Linked DNA regions of Saccharomyces cerevisiae S288C. The gene in region 2 interacts genetically with the main gene of each other region. Each region holds a gene or a part of one and is shown on either strand. Other genes may lie near its edges.

The links. A genetic interaction does not mean that the proteins touch.
Region 1: of CWP2 (region 2) and TLD1, extra expression of one rescues a mutant of the other (dosage rescue), as found in Saccharomyces cerevisiae (one study listed by BioGRID).
Region 3: mutations in CWP2 (region 2) and ATP11 together harm fitness more than expected from each alone (negative genetic interaction), as found in Saccharomyces cerevisiae (2 studies listed by BioGRID).

What each region holds. Positions count from the first base shown.
Region 1 is NC_001136.10:1,010,259-1,014,813, reverse strand, and holds TLD1 (triglyceride-associated lipolysis regulator TLD1), read right to left. Parts: upstream 2,563-4,555; coding exon 1,855-2,562; downstream 1-1,854. Other genes in the region: MTH1 (Mth1p), read left to right, coding at 1-413; PMP3 (Pmp3p), read left to right, coding at 1,171-1,338; YDR274C (uncharacterized protein), read left to right, coding at 2,854-3,225; DON1 (Don1p), read right to left, coding at 3,541-4,555.
Region 2 is NC_001143.9:256,232-261,534, reverse strand, and holds CWP2 (Cwp2p), read right to left. Parts: upstream 2,283-5,303; coding exon 2,004-2,282; downstream 1-2,003. Other genes in the region: CWP1 (Cwp1p), read right to left, coding at 1-403; YKL096C-B (uncharacterized protein), read left to right, coding at 2,313-2,462; YKL097C (uncharacterized protein), read left to right, coding at 2,622-3,032; MTC2 (Mtc2p), read right to left, coding at 3,692-4,765; rRNA-processing protein UTP11, read left to right, coding at 5,063-5,303. UniProt on the Saccharomyces cerevisiae protein: Component of the cell wall.
Region 3 is NC_001146.8:41,470-46,197, reverse strand, and holds ATP11 (Atp11p), read left to right. Parts: upstream 1-1,917; coding exon 1,918-2,874; downstream 2,875-4,728. Other genes in the region: tetratricopeptide repeat-containing protein EMW1, read left to right, coding at 1-890; DAL82 (Dal82p), read right to left, coding at 984-1,751; prephenate dehydratase PHA2, read left to right, coding at 3,123-4,127; cleavage polyadenylation factor subunit PFS2, read right to left, coding at 4,182-4,728.

The DNA.
Region 1 (4,555 bases), on a different chromosome or scaffold from region 2:
TGAATTTGTCGAAACCGGAATGGAGAAATATCATCGAAAATTACCTCTTAAATATAGCAGTAGAGGCACAATGCAGGTTTGATTTCAAACAAAGATGCTCCGAATATAAGAAATGGAAGTTACAACAGTCCAACTTAAAAAGACCGGACATGCCCCCACCAAGCATAATACCGCGGAAAAACAGCACAGAAACAAAATCGCTTCTGAAAAAGGCTTTATTGAAGAACATTCAGTTGAAAAACCCCAATAATAACCTTGATGAATTGATGATGAGATCAAGCGCCGCAACAAATCAACAGGGAAAAAACAAAGTCAGCTTATCTAAAGAAGAAAAGGCTACGATATGGTCGCAATGTCAGGCACAAGTTTACCAAAGATTAGGATTGGATTGGCAGCCGGATTCAGTATCCTGAAGATACTAAAAAGAAACCTTCCCGATGGTTTTTTTGGAGACTCTTCGATTGTATCAATACTATCCCATGGACATCAGTTTTAATAGAGGAGCTCCAAATTCCCAAGGAATTGAGGAAGAAGCGCCAATGATTTATATATACAAACTAGCTGTTGCAGCTTTATAGAGATTTAGTAATAAGAATTTTATGGGAACGTGGTACCGTTATCGCAGTAAAGAGTCAAGGGTAGCGAAGATCAAACCATACGATGACGAAATACCTTTAGTTCTTAGCATCACCAATCGCAGACATCCAACGTATCCGTGCGCGTAATCCTTCTCTTGGTAGTTGAGCACAGCATACAGAAGAAGCCGCGCGCAAGCGGTAAATGTCTTTCCTCCGGCCTTCTAACCACCAAAACCGATCTCGGAACATGGGGGGGGGAAGGTCCTCTGAATCGAAAAACCCGAGACAGCGAGAGGGATTTTGCAGAAAATTACAAAGATCACTATTTACTGCTCCCCTCACTTCCGCAGTCCCCTAATAGCGGAAGATGCAATGGGTGTGGGCTCTGGGTGCCCTTTAACCACGCCCTCAAAAGGGGGTCCTGGTTATTTTGCGATGGGCGCCTCTATAAATACAAAAGAGGAAGTGAGTGTTTTTGTTTTGGAAGAGGGAAAGGAAAAAAAGAAGAAAATTTACTATCGGTTGTTGTTTTTCGCCAGTATAATACAATTGATTATACATTTTGAACTAAACAGCACAGCACAATACAACAATGGATTCTGCCAAGATCATTAACATTATATTATCCCTTTTCTTACCACCAGTCGCCGTTTTTCTAGCCCGTGGGTGGGGTACTGACTGTATAGTGGATATCATTTTGACCATTTTGGCTTGGTTCCCAGGTATGCTATATGCCTTGTACATTGTCCTACAAGATTAAGCTCATTCAATAAACGAAAGTAACTATCAAATGAAATAAGGAAGCAGTATTAGGAAACGGTATCAACATGTTCGGGTCACCCTCATTTTTATTTGTTTCCTTTCTTTTTTTTTGTTTCTCTTTCTCTTAAGGTTTCCTCCCCCGCTGTTAATTTTAACTACGTGTGTATTTTTTAATAATTAATTTTATCACAAAAAAAACTTCTCATCTTTTTTGCCTTTTATCATTTTTGTACTTTTTTCTTCGCTTAAAATACACATGATATAGACGCTTAACTATCTGTCCTGCAAGTTTGTTTATCTATATAAATATAGCCAGTATCATCCGTTTACCTGTGTTGTAGAGTTCCAAAAGATAGAACAGCCTTTTATCAGATGGGTGGCAGACCCTTACCCATATTATCTCTCTTATTTTGTTTTTATTTCTCTCTAGCCTTATAATTATTTTTAGTTTCCTTTCTGTAGCAATAAGTGTTCTTAGCAGTGGCGTTGCGTTGCCTTGACCTTGATTATCAATTTAAGCAGCTTTCTGCTCACAAGCCACTTCAAAACGACTCGTGAATGATTTTTCGATCAATGATATCTTATCATAATTCGGATTTGATAGGAAATCATCATCCTCTTCCTCGTAGTAGGCGTCTTCCCTCCTTTCATTAACAAGTTTATTCTGCTTCACAAATGTAACTGTACTAGTTGAATTCAAACGCCTACTTTTGTTAACACTACCTGAACTAATATCATATTCCAGACCAGCTGTAGTATGATTGATCAATGATTCTGAGGATTCATTTAGCATATTAATTATCTCCTCATCAATAACTATTTCCTCCTTTCCGCTTATGGGACCACTGGTCTTTTCTTTTCCATCTGCCACCGGTAATGATGATCTATTGTAGTGGAATAACTTGCAACCGTAATCAAGCAACCTGCACATGTAGAGGAATAGATCGATCGCGTCCAGTATGATAATAGGCAACAGCAATACGATGACACCCAAAGAGCACATCAACTGGAAAATGCCAAACATTAACATCAGTCCTGATCTTATTTCGGATAATATCCCGCAGTGCCACGTCAAAGATAGTACCTTATCAAAGGCGTGGTTGATAATAACAAGTGCTAATCGGCTATTTGACATGATCTCTTCCTTTCCTGATGAGTTCTTGGTATCGTGATCGATCACAGTTGAACCTATAAGTTTTCTAAGCTTCGGGAAAAAAAACATTGTAACTAAAGGCAATAATGGATGCAGATGCCTGGCAAGGAAGGAAGAAAAAAAGACAATAGAATGCCGTTGGTATATATTCTCCGGCTGCCCCGTCAAAGGACTTCTAAAAACTAATATCAAGAAAATCAAAAAAAAAAATCAAAAAAAAAAATAAAGGAAAAAAAAAGATCTCTATCTTTATGTCGGTAGATATGACACTCCCTTCACGTTTATCATCTCTTGAACCTTTTCTAGTTCATCTACACCGTTCCTATTATCTTTCTTTTGCCCCCTTCTCTTCCCTCGTACATGTTTTCTTGCCTTTTACATTCCTCACGCCCTACTGACAGCTATTGCACTTTGGCGGCACCACTCAGCCAGACTGCCCGTACCCGTACGATGACCTTCCATGCAGCCACGGCGAAACGCAAGACCGAGCATTCGGGAATCAAGGAATCTAACTTGCATTTGTCCCGGGTCCTACTAAGCTCTTTCTGCCGTGCAAAAGGACGTTTCGTTTCGTTTTTCATATGCTATCCATTTCCTTTTGGGCTAACTAGGTTTCCGCGGGTTTTGTGGTCAATAGGACTCGACAAATCATTATTTACGCGCGTGCATTTTTCGCCATCATTCTTTTCCCTTCTTGCACCACTACAATTTTCCGGGATTGTACGATCGTAGGAAACTACTTACCGTCAGCGTTGCTCAAAAAGGCCCACATTATTTTCTTCCGTTAGTCCTGTTTTTATATTGTCCTGAAGTTTCCCGGCGCTAACTTCCTGGCTTTCCATTGAGTTTGAATTGTTGAGTAAAAACTAGTGTGCCATTGCTAGATGAACGTCATTTCCGCCCACACATCGACTGATGAATGACTCCATTTTGAGAACTAGATATACAACAAAGGCAAATAAGCGCAGAAGAAGCAATGGTGGTGTCTGTTCATTGCGAGCCCAAACGCACTTTGCCGAAAGAGTTAATAAACATTACCGCTATACACTACGTAAAACTTAATTCTTGTCTAGATGGATGAACCTGCTTTTTTTCATCTTTAGCGTCAGCTGCAAATAGACCACAACTATCAGTGCCAAAGGCAGATTTGTATCCACCGTCGTCCTTGGCAGGTAACCTATCTGCACTGTCACGCTGAGCCTCCGGCACTTCAGTATTACCGCCCTGGTTCTTCCTTTCTTGATTCGACGTATTGGTTTCGACATCTTGCTCTTCTTCTTCCTCGCTTTCGTCGCAGTTTAAAACGTCAAATAAATTGTTTGAAGGCTCATTTCTCTTCACAGTGACGGGAATGCGATTATTCTTCAATGACTTCGCAACAACTTTCACAGCGGCGCCTTTTAAGCTGTTAACTCCCTTTTCTTCTCCCTTCTCCTTTTCCTCCTCTTTTCCCTTCTCTTTTCCCTTGAGTATACTATCTTCGTTTGATAAAATTGTATTATGGCCCTCTGCAACAGCCACGTTCCTAGTCGATTCGGCGACTTCTCTATTCGATCCGGGGGTGCTAATGTTGCCAATGTGTTCGGCCAAAGAACTTAGTTCTGATTCAATTTTTGAAATTACCATGGAGCCATTTATTCCTTGACCAGAAAATTCGTCTTCAATATCATCGAATATTTCACGTTGCAAAATCTCAGACACATTTATTTTACTATAGTCTTCCACACTTATCGGCTTCATTGGTAATGCAAAGTCAGTGTTTTCCTCCGGACTTGAGTAGTAGAGTAAAGAATTGAATGCCGGCTCCAAAACCCCTTGGGAGGCAATTAAAATGGCTTTAATTAATGTATCATCTACTTCTGGAAATGCTATCTTCAATTCTTTCAAGACACATAATTTCTCTACTGAGGAAACTAAATCGCCTATGGTGGGATAATCGAGAATATTGCTGTCAGTTTTCGTGTTTACATGTTCCTTTGTAATTAATGGAAAGTCAGTTTTCGGGCTACTTTCTTTTTCTTCAACGTTTGTATAGTCTTGCGATGGAAGCTCCAATCCCGAA
Region 2 (5,303 bases):
TAATCGCAACACCGGTAGCGTCGTCGGATTGCTTAGAAGAGAAAATGTAAGACGACCCGTCCTTGATAGCGTAGAAACCAGAAGAGCTCTTGTAGTTTAGATGGCCATCTTTAATAGAAAAACCAGTGGCAGCATCGCTCTCAGAACCTTCTTTGAATGAGCCATCCTCATTGACAACAGCATACTTATCGTCGTCAAATTTCAGTTTACCGTCATCGGTAATAGTTGCCTCAAATGAGCCACTACCGCTGCCAAGTTTCAAAGTGCCGTTATCACTGTAAACACTCAAGTATTGTAAATCCGAGCCGGAACGGATACTCACCAGGCCGAATTCTTCGGAATCGGCAATGACCATCTTAGCCAAGGCGAATAAAGCGACAGACAAAGCAGTGGAGAATTTCATTATTGTTTTTTGAGACTTTCGTAGTATTTATTAGTTTGTTACGGGATATTTTACTTCAGACAGAAAAAAAATTCAAGGAAGATAGCGAAAGAAAGAAACGTTAAGATCGTCCTTTAAATAATTGAGATTTTGTTTGTTTGCTTTTTTTTTTTCTGCACCACAAATTATCAAAATTAAAAGGTGAAAAAACACTACATTGAACGTGAACCACAGAGCTTATTGTTTGTTGTTTTTTTTGTTTTCTTTTGTGGCACCTTCGAGATGGCTCTCCTGGAGTAAGTTACCGTTGTGGGACAACCCGCACGCACAGACGTAAGCGGACCCGTATTCCAATCGGGCCGAAGGGCCCTTTTCGTTCAGGGAGCTGTGGCTAACGCTATTTTTAGTTATGACGTACGGTGCGGCACCATCTATAACGCGAAGAAGTACTTTTTTTAGCTCTCTTTTTTTGTTTTCGCGGGAGGGGTTTGTTTATTATGATATTTTAACGGGATAGAAGGTCGAGCACACAATGTTTGCCGTCAAGAGGGGTATCTGCTTCTATATTCGTAACTTTCCAGATGTCCGATTTTTTTTTTCATTATTACCTCGAGCTACGATTCGGTACACATACATTCTTATTTTGAAACTTGTTCACCATATCTTTGCAAAAATTAATGAGATTCCAATGTTATGTATGGGTGAAGTATAAGACGTGGTTGCAGCATCCCTTAGTATTTGTCTAGTGGGGTTCTTCACTACTTACTCTTGAAGCATAAAAAAGAAAACAAGGCTAGCTCTAAAGCATCGTAGATGAATCTCATTAAGAAAATTCAGCATGTGCGAAGGAAGGTACAGTTTTAAAGTCGCATCAATGCCCATAATAAAGGGATTAATGGCACTGTGCTAAAATGTGCCAGGTCATGAAAATTTCATAGCGCATTGGCAAGCGACTTTAGCGCGCGCCAACGTGATATTTCTTGTAAGTTCAAATCCATCCGAGGGGCAATTGTAGTGAGGACAAAAGTTCATTGAGTTCTAGATTATTATTTTGTCACACGTCTCCCTTGAATTTGTAAAATATTTTATAAGTGGAAGTAAAGTATAGAAAATGGCAGAAAAAAAAGATCCCACCGTAGCACACCAATATCTTTCCCACTTTCTTTTGAACAGGTAACAGATAACGAAGATGGTAAAAAGATAAAGGGAAGAACGGTCAGCACTTTCGCCTATGTTTTTCACGCCTTGACTCTTTAATCGCAGCTAAGGGCGAAATTCTTTATGCACACTGGTCTGTTGAAACAAGCATGCATGTTTTTTTCACCTTAGGGGCGCAGGAAACATTGTGCATAGCCAAGATCTCAGCAAACTCGAAGAAACCCAGTCTCTAATACATTCATTTCGAGTTCAAATTTTTGACTCATTCGAAGAGAAATCACAGGAACATCGTTAAAGTAAAAAGTGTTTTATTTTTATGGTATCTACCTATTCAAAATAACAAAAATTATTTAAAATTATGTGTAAAAATATATTAACGAAAAGAAAAGAATCAAACACTTACCTAGTAAAACCGAAAATTTTGAAAAAAGCCATATAGATATTATAAAAAATCAGAGATTTCTTATAACAACATAGCAGCAGCAGCTAGAGCACCGGCACCCATACCGACAGCGGCCTTAGCAGCACCATTTTCAGTTTGTTGAGAGATAGTTTCGGTGCTGGATGGAGAAACAGTTTCAACGGTGGAAGATGGGGCAGCAGTGGTGGTAGCTTCGGTGGTAGCAGTGGTAGTAGCTTGGATTTGACCGTCAGTGATTTGAGAAATGGCGGCAGCGGATTCAGCGGCAACAAAGTTAGCCAAAGCGACGAAAGCAACGGAAGCGACAGTAGAGAATTGCATTTTTTTTCTTGTTAGTGTGTAGCGAATGTGATGAAGTTATTTATTCTTGATTATGAGAAGAAAAGAACAAAGATAGGAAAAGGGATGGCAAGAAGAGAATTGAAAATGATGAACAAGAAGCCTGATTTATATACGATTATTGTATCTTATTTTTCAATTTTTTCGTTGTTTTTTTTTTAGAACGTTACATTTCTCTGTTTGGCTTTTGGTCTACGGTTCCCCAAATGCAGTTAAAGAATGGCAATAATACGGAAAGGGAAATGCAAGAAAGAGGAAAAAGGACGGTTCCAGATTTTCTAATGATAAGCGCGAAATTTCCGCAATTTCTAGGGTAGTGGGATGTTCCTATTTACGTTTACCATTCTTGAGAGTGAAAAACTTATTATATGGCCCGTTCCGGCCGTGGTACTGGGTGTTATGGCCCCAAAACGCGCATATTCCACGCCTTTTGGGCCTTGGCCGGGCCCCGCGGAGTGCCTGTGGAATTGCCCTTCGGAGCTAAGGCAGTTCAGTTCGTGTTGTTTACCTCTGCCGAAACTGAGGCCGCCCAGGCCCACTTTCGCTTCTCTTTGGCGTGTTGTGGCGGCGATCGCTGCATTGTTTCAAGTGCCCTGGAGACGTAAAACAGGCGTGGGAAAAGCAATCTTCTGCATAGGTTGCTGCTGCCTAGCATATCAGTGGCGCAGAACGCGGTATTTTGCATACAAGATTATGACAGGAACATGCTTCATGACAGACTTGGCGCCCTAACATCCGCATCGGTGGAGGCAATGTAATACTGTGATACTATGTGGTTGTTTGCCATTAGTTGCACATTGCAATAAAAGGGTCGTCAAAAAAAGACGAGCAGCATAGTATCTGTAGCATTATTAATATGTCTAGGGGATGGCGTACGTTATGCTTCTCAGACGGTTTTCTAAGAAAAGCTTTGTCCCTTGCGGTGACCGCACAAAATAAAAAGGGGAGGCTAGCAATTCACTCATAGCACCTTGTCTATTAGAAATGGAATGCATACTGATTGTCCTTGCGCTTAATTGTCTATTGTAAATTGTAATCGCATGGTCATCTTTTAGTAGCATCTCTATTACTTCGTATTATGGTCAGTAAATGATTGACCAAGTGCAAGCGGAATCTTTCGTTGCTGGACTCAATTGGTAATGTCTATATACACTATTGCAAAGTAGTTAAGCCTTGCCATTTTCATTTCTCTCTTACTTTTTAGACCAAATATTTAGCTATTTACTTTGACCGATTTTGCTCATTTTTCGGGTCATGGCATAATGAATAAAAACAACAATTGGTTAACAAAACGATAAAGGGCAATTGACGCTAAGAATAGAAACTTTTAAATACCGTTTGTACGTATGTAAACATAGGTTCCAGATGCATGCTCGAAATACATAATAAACTTACACGGGCGGCACGACTTTACTTAGTACGTTTTTCACTACGAGAGATTCCAGGAAAAGGGGATTCTCAAACTCATTAACCTCCTCACACTTAATCTTCGCAAGTTTCTCTAGCATTTCGTCCACCAAGTTGGGGTCGCTACCGTACAATAAGGAACTATCCATGGAGGAACGCTGAACCAATTCCAAGTGCATGGGGAAGTACCACCTGGACGCCTCTTTGACATGTGAAGGTGACACAAACATCTTGCCGCTATGTAGACCAATTAATCTAGACAATAACACCACGTCGTCCAATGAATTTGTATATACCCCGCCGGCTTTGGCGTTATACGTCAATCTATGCGTTCGCAAATGGACCATGATATCGAGAATATACCGTCTTACAGTGGACCCCACAAATACATCGTTCAGATTTGCCTCTTCATTTAATATGATCGACCTCTTGCTCTCTGGCTCCTGCTTCTCTTCCTCAGCCATACCAATGCTATTATTGGCTCTTGTATTAATGCTAGACTCAGTTGAACTTTCAAAATCCAAATATGGGGGTGCACATGCAAACCAGAATTTGTGTTTGAGCCAAGCGCCCATACGGAAAGACGTGGGCAGGAAGATGCGAGTTTTGGGAGCTGGTTTACCTGCTTCATCCCCATCCTTAGCGGCGCCTGAAGGCTGCACGGGATTATTCCAATGAACCACTCCTATAAATATACGTGTTGACTGTGCCTTCTCAATCGCCACTGTGCAATCTCTCATAATTTTTACTAATTTCGCTTGGTCTGGCTGTAAAAGAGAATTTATGTCTGGAATGATAACAATCTCAAATTCCTTAACATGTGTAGTTGCTAACGAGTCCAAGCTTGCAGTTGTTGAGTTCAGAACCGTGACCTTTATTCCTCCGCCCGGATAAGCGTCATTGATTGCCCTCTTCAGTTGTATATCACAAGTACTTGGCATCGAAGAGGCTAATTTTTCCTTTGAGACGCTGTCTCTATACATACATAGAAAGCTCTTTTTAGCTGTAACAGAAAACTTCAAACATGTCTGAAAATCCGGCAGATTATGATCGCCCATTCCTATTTTTGCCACATCCAATCAATAATTTTGCAGCTCCGATTTTGCAGGTGTTGCTGTTCAATGGAAGTAATCGTTGTTATAAAGGAGCACATCACCAAGTCCTCTAAGGCTTAAAGGTTTGTCGTTATGCACGTAAAAGATGAAATTTTTTTATGGCTAGATGAGCTCATCGCGATTTGAAGAAAAAGAGTAAAGAAAACAATGCTAAGAAACTACAATAAGAGCAAGTTGCATATCATCGAATAATACTAGTGGGGTTTTCTAGTTCGTTACAGCCAACAACAGACAAAAGATATGGCTAAACTTGTACATGATGTTCAGAAAAAGCAGCATAGAGAACGTTCTCAGCTAACTAGCCGTTCCAGATATGGGTTTTTAGAAAAGCATAAAGACTATGTGAAACGTGCTCAAGACTTCCACAGGAAGCAGTCCACTTTGAAAGTCCTCAGAGAAAAAGCAAAAGAGAGAAATCCAGATGAATACTACCATGCTATGCATTCAAGGAAGACAGATGCAAAAGGACTGCTGATCAGCT
Region 3 (4,728 bases), on a different chromosome or scaffold from region 2:
CTCCTCCAAAGTCTGGAGCACAACCAAATTACTCTGCTACCTTGAAACATTTAAATGACTCGTTAAGGCAATACCCATTAAGCTTTGAAACGTGGTATTTTTATGGTTGCGTTGGATTACAATGTGGTAAAATGCAGATAGCTGCGGAGGCATTTACCAGATGTGTTTCATTAGACCCTTATCATGCTCTTTCATGGTCAAATTTGAGCGCTGCATATACGAAAATGGATAAATTGAAAGAAGCTTATAGTTGTTTGAAAAGAGCCATTTCATGTGACGCTCAAAAGAACTGGAAAATTTGGGAGAATTACATGCTTGTTGCTGTTAAGTTGAATGAGTGGGAGGATGTCTTAACTGCATGTAAACAATTAGTCAGTATTAGGAGGGACAAATCTGGCGAAGGTTCCATCGACTTACCAATTATTGAAAAACTAGTAGAACTATTAGTGACTAGTGAATATCCAGAGGAGCCGCAGCAATTATCTTATTTTCAAAAGAGCTGTACTGAGTTTATCTGTAACACTTTACCTCAGGTAATTACAACCAGTGCAAGATGTTGGCGACTGGTCGCAAGAGTAGAACTTTGGAGGAAGAGACCATGGGCCGCCCTAGAATGCCACGAGAAGGCTTATAGGGCCATTTCTCACAATCCTGATTTAGAAGTTGAAGAAAAGGTTTGGAATGATACAGTGGATGCTTGTGAAGATTTGGTGGCTGCCTATGAATCACTTGGTGAAATGGAAGGTAAATATGGGCCAGGCAGTCTGGTTTGCAAAGACTGGAAATACAAATGTAGATCTACTATCAAAGCTCTAATGAGTAAAGGCAAAGGCAGATGGGATGACTCTCCTGGTTGGGATAGGCTAGTGGAAGCAAGAAGCCAAATATGAAGAGCACCTTTCATGTATAATCTGTGTATATTACGTAATGTTTGTATAAATAGATACATATGGACATGAATCAAGCATATCTAATAGAAGTTTTTATATTTTATCTCCTTGGCTGGGTGGTCTCATCTGTGAAAGGAGAGCCTCAATTATGTTGAGCTTGTTTAAAACTTTACACTCAAAATCTTCTTGCCTTTTCTTTATCACCTCGAGTTCGTTGTGAAGATAATCTAGACATATTTCCAATTCCATATTAGAGTCCGACCACGATTGCTCAGCAGCCATTTGTGGAGGCAGTACTGTCTCGCTGAACCTATTTGTACCCTTGTTTATCTTAGGGCTTTTGATGACTTTCCCGACGTCGTTATCCTTAGACAGAATCATGGGGATTGTGTGAAGAGTAGGCGGAATTCCAATCGTTATTGAATCCAGGGGCAGCGGTTGTGAGCCTGAATGCTCATCGTCGGAGCTGTGGTTATTCGGATGTTCAGCGGATGATAATTGTTGAAACGGATCAGGCCCCGGATGACTTTTAATGAAAGAAGATGATGATAAGGATGAAGATGATTCATTTCCGAATTTAGTTCTTGGTCTTGGATGTTCTGGTGCTTCGTCCAAGAGTGCTCCCATCAGCTTCAACTGGGAAGGAGAGAATTGGGCTCGATCTGCGCTGAAGAGGTCCTTCAGTCGACGAAATTTGGTTTTTAACGTCCTTGATTGTCTATATCTTGACCCAGTCTGTCTGTTGTACTCATCGAGCACCCTTTGCCAGCTATCTTGTCTGTAGGCATATGGTTTCAGATGAGGTTTGTGCCGTATCAGTAGTCGTAGAAGCAGCTCCACAGGATCCACCGATTCATCCATTATGGTTGGCTCCGCCTAAACCTTTCAAAGTATCGTTAAACCATGTTGTTATCAATGGTTCAACTCACCCGAATGGAAATAACGCTTATTTTGACGCCGTAATCGAAGGATGTGAAGAACTTATCAAGACTTGAAAATAGAGAACAAAAGAGATTTAAGAATAACTATGTGGAGACTAACCAGAAAAATCGGCACTAGAATCCATATTTCTAATCAGCTGTCGCCCATTTTTAACAAGGCAATTGGAACAGTTCCTGTTTTTCGTTTTTATTCTTCCAGCCCAGAGCAGAAGTATAGAAAGAAACTTTTGGAAGAGGCTCAAAAACAAGGTTTTAACAGCATAGAAGAGTTGAAAAATCATTTGAAAGAGACTATAGAGTCTAAGAAGCGGGAATTTAATAAAATCGACCCCCTGAAAGAACTAGAGGATTACCAACAAAAAACTCAAATGGAAAATAACAACTCCAAGCATTTGATGACGAAATCAAGAAGTCCTCTCGATCCAAGTGCTCCTAAAGTTCCCTTCAAAACATTGGACTCTTTTTTGGATGTTGGAAAACTGAAGGACTTATCGAAACAGGAAGTAGAGTTTCTTTGGAGAGCAAGATGGGCACAAAAAGATAATACATTATGCGCTGTGATTCCTGTCTCCGTTTATGATAAGATGATGGCAAATGCCAGGAATAACCCTATATTCGTGTTGCCACTTCCTAGACAAGTTCAATCTGAGGATGCAAAACCGAACGAAGAACAGGGAATGGAACTACACTACATCCAATGGCAGTTTGTCGGACCCCAAACAACACATTGTATGATGACTTCCCTAGCAGAATACAAACTACACCAGGAATTTGCAAGGCCACATACTACCTTGCAGTTCCATTCTGATTTGGTCAAGGATAAGGGAATTGTTTTTATGAATGGCCATGTTGAACCGGATACAAACGTGAATGTACAGGATGCACAGCTGTTATTGCTAAACGTGCAAAGGTTTTATGGTGCAATGGGTGAAGAAACTCCAGTTGCTAAACAGAGAGTGCAGTTGTTAAGAGATTTCTCTAAGGCCTCTCCGGGATTCACCGTCGAGAAATTGATTTCGCTATCACAGTCCATGGAAAATTAACGAAGAATTACTTCCGTATACGTATATATATATATATATATATATTAATGACACCTGTAAATAAAATACGTACTACATCATCTGCGACAAGCGTACAGTTTCTTTACACAGTTATCAGCATGACTCTTGTATTTTCATAATGAAAAATGAAAATAAAAATTTTAGTAGATGAATATAATACGCAGAAAGAACAGGCTAAAAAAGTACGAAAAGCAACTTCATTATATTTCCGCATTCATCCTTCAATTATGGCCAGCAAGACTTTGAGGGTTCTTTTTCTGGGTCCCAAAGGTACGTATTCCCATCAAGCTGCATTACAACAATTTCAATCAACATCTGATGTTGAGTACCTCCCAGCAGCCTCTATCCCCCAATGTTTTAACCAATTGGAGAACGACACTAGTATAGATTATTCAGTGGTACCGTTGGAAAATTCCACCAATGGACAAGTAGTTTTTTCCTATGATCTCTTGCGTGATAGGATGATCAAAAAAGCCCTATCCTTACCTGCTCCAGCAGATACTAATAGAATTACACCAGATATAGAAGTTATAGCGGAGCAATATGTACCCATTACCCATTGTCTAATCAGCCCAATCCAACTACCAAATGGTATTGCATCCCTTGGAAATTTTGAAGAAGTCATAATACACTCACATCCGCAAGTATGGGGCCAGGTTGAATGTTACTTAAGGTCCATGGCAGAAAAATTTCCGCAGGTCACCTTTATAAGATTGGATTGTTCTTCCACATCTGAATCAGTGAACCAATGCATTCGGTCATCAACGGCCGATTGCGACAACATTCTGCATTTAGCCATTGCTAGTGAAACAGCTGCCCAATTGCATAAGGCGTACATCATTGAACATTCGATAAATGATAAGCTAGGAAATACAACAAGATTTTTAGTATTGAAGAGAAGGGAGAACGCAGGCGACAATGAAGTAGAAGACACTGGATTACTACGGGTTAACCTACTCACCTTTACTACTCGTCAAGATGACCCTGGTTCTTTGGTAGATGTTTTGAACATACTAAAAATCCATTCACTCAACATGTGTTCTATAAACTCTAGACCATTCCATTTGGACGAACATGATAGAAACTGGCGATATTTATTTTTCATTGAATATTACACCGAGAAGAATACCCCAAAGAATAAAGAAAAATTCTATGAAGATATCAGCGACAAAAGTAAACAGTGGTGCCTGTGGGGTACATTCCCCAGAAATGAGAGATATTATCACAAATAATATGTTATATAGTCTTTTTATTTATGTATCCTAAAATCTCGTCAAAGCGCACTTTTATATGCTTAAACCTGGCAATGTGGAACTCTTGATGTTTGAATCGATGCCTGGGATTTCTTGACGCGGTTTCTTGTTGATGAATCCATTCATGTTTGGTAACGCATGTGGTTCAAGTGTAGCTGGTGGTGGCGGGGCCGCACCGAATTCACTCTTCTCTCTCACAGCATTGATGTCGTTATTGATGCCAAAAAACCATCCATTTATCTTCTTATTGTTATAAGTTGGATCATCATATGCATTAGGATCAATTGGCCTCGCTCTAGTCCAAAATCTTATGGTTCTATCCTTAGCTGCTGTGGCAAATATATGTCCTACTGGATTATATGATAACGAGGTGATACACTTATCATGGGCGTATGGAATAGTCAAAATAGGTTCGTTTAGATTTTGTAAAAGATCAAAATGCTTTAGCGAGCCGTCATAGCACGCCAGAGTGAACATAGATTCATTTATTGGGTGCCATTCTAGTGTCATATAATCCGTTTCATCTCTTACACACATTAGTTCCTTCATACTGTATCTAATGTCGAACACACGACACGAT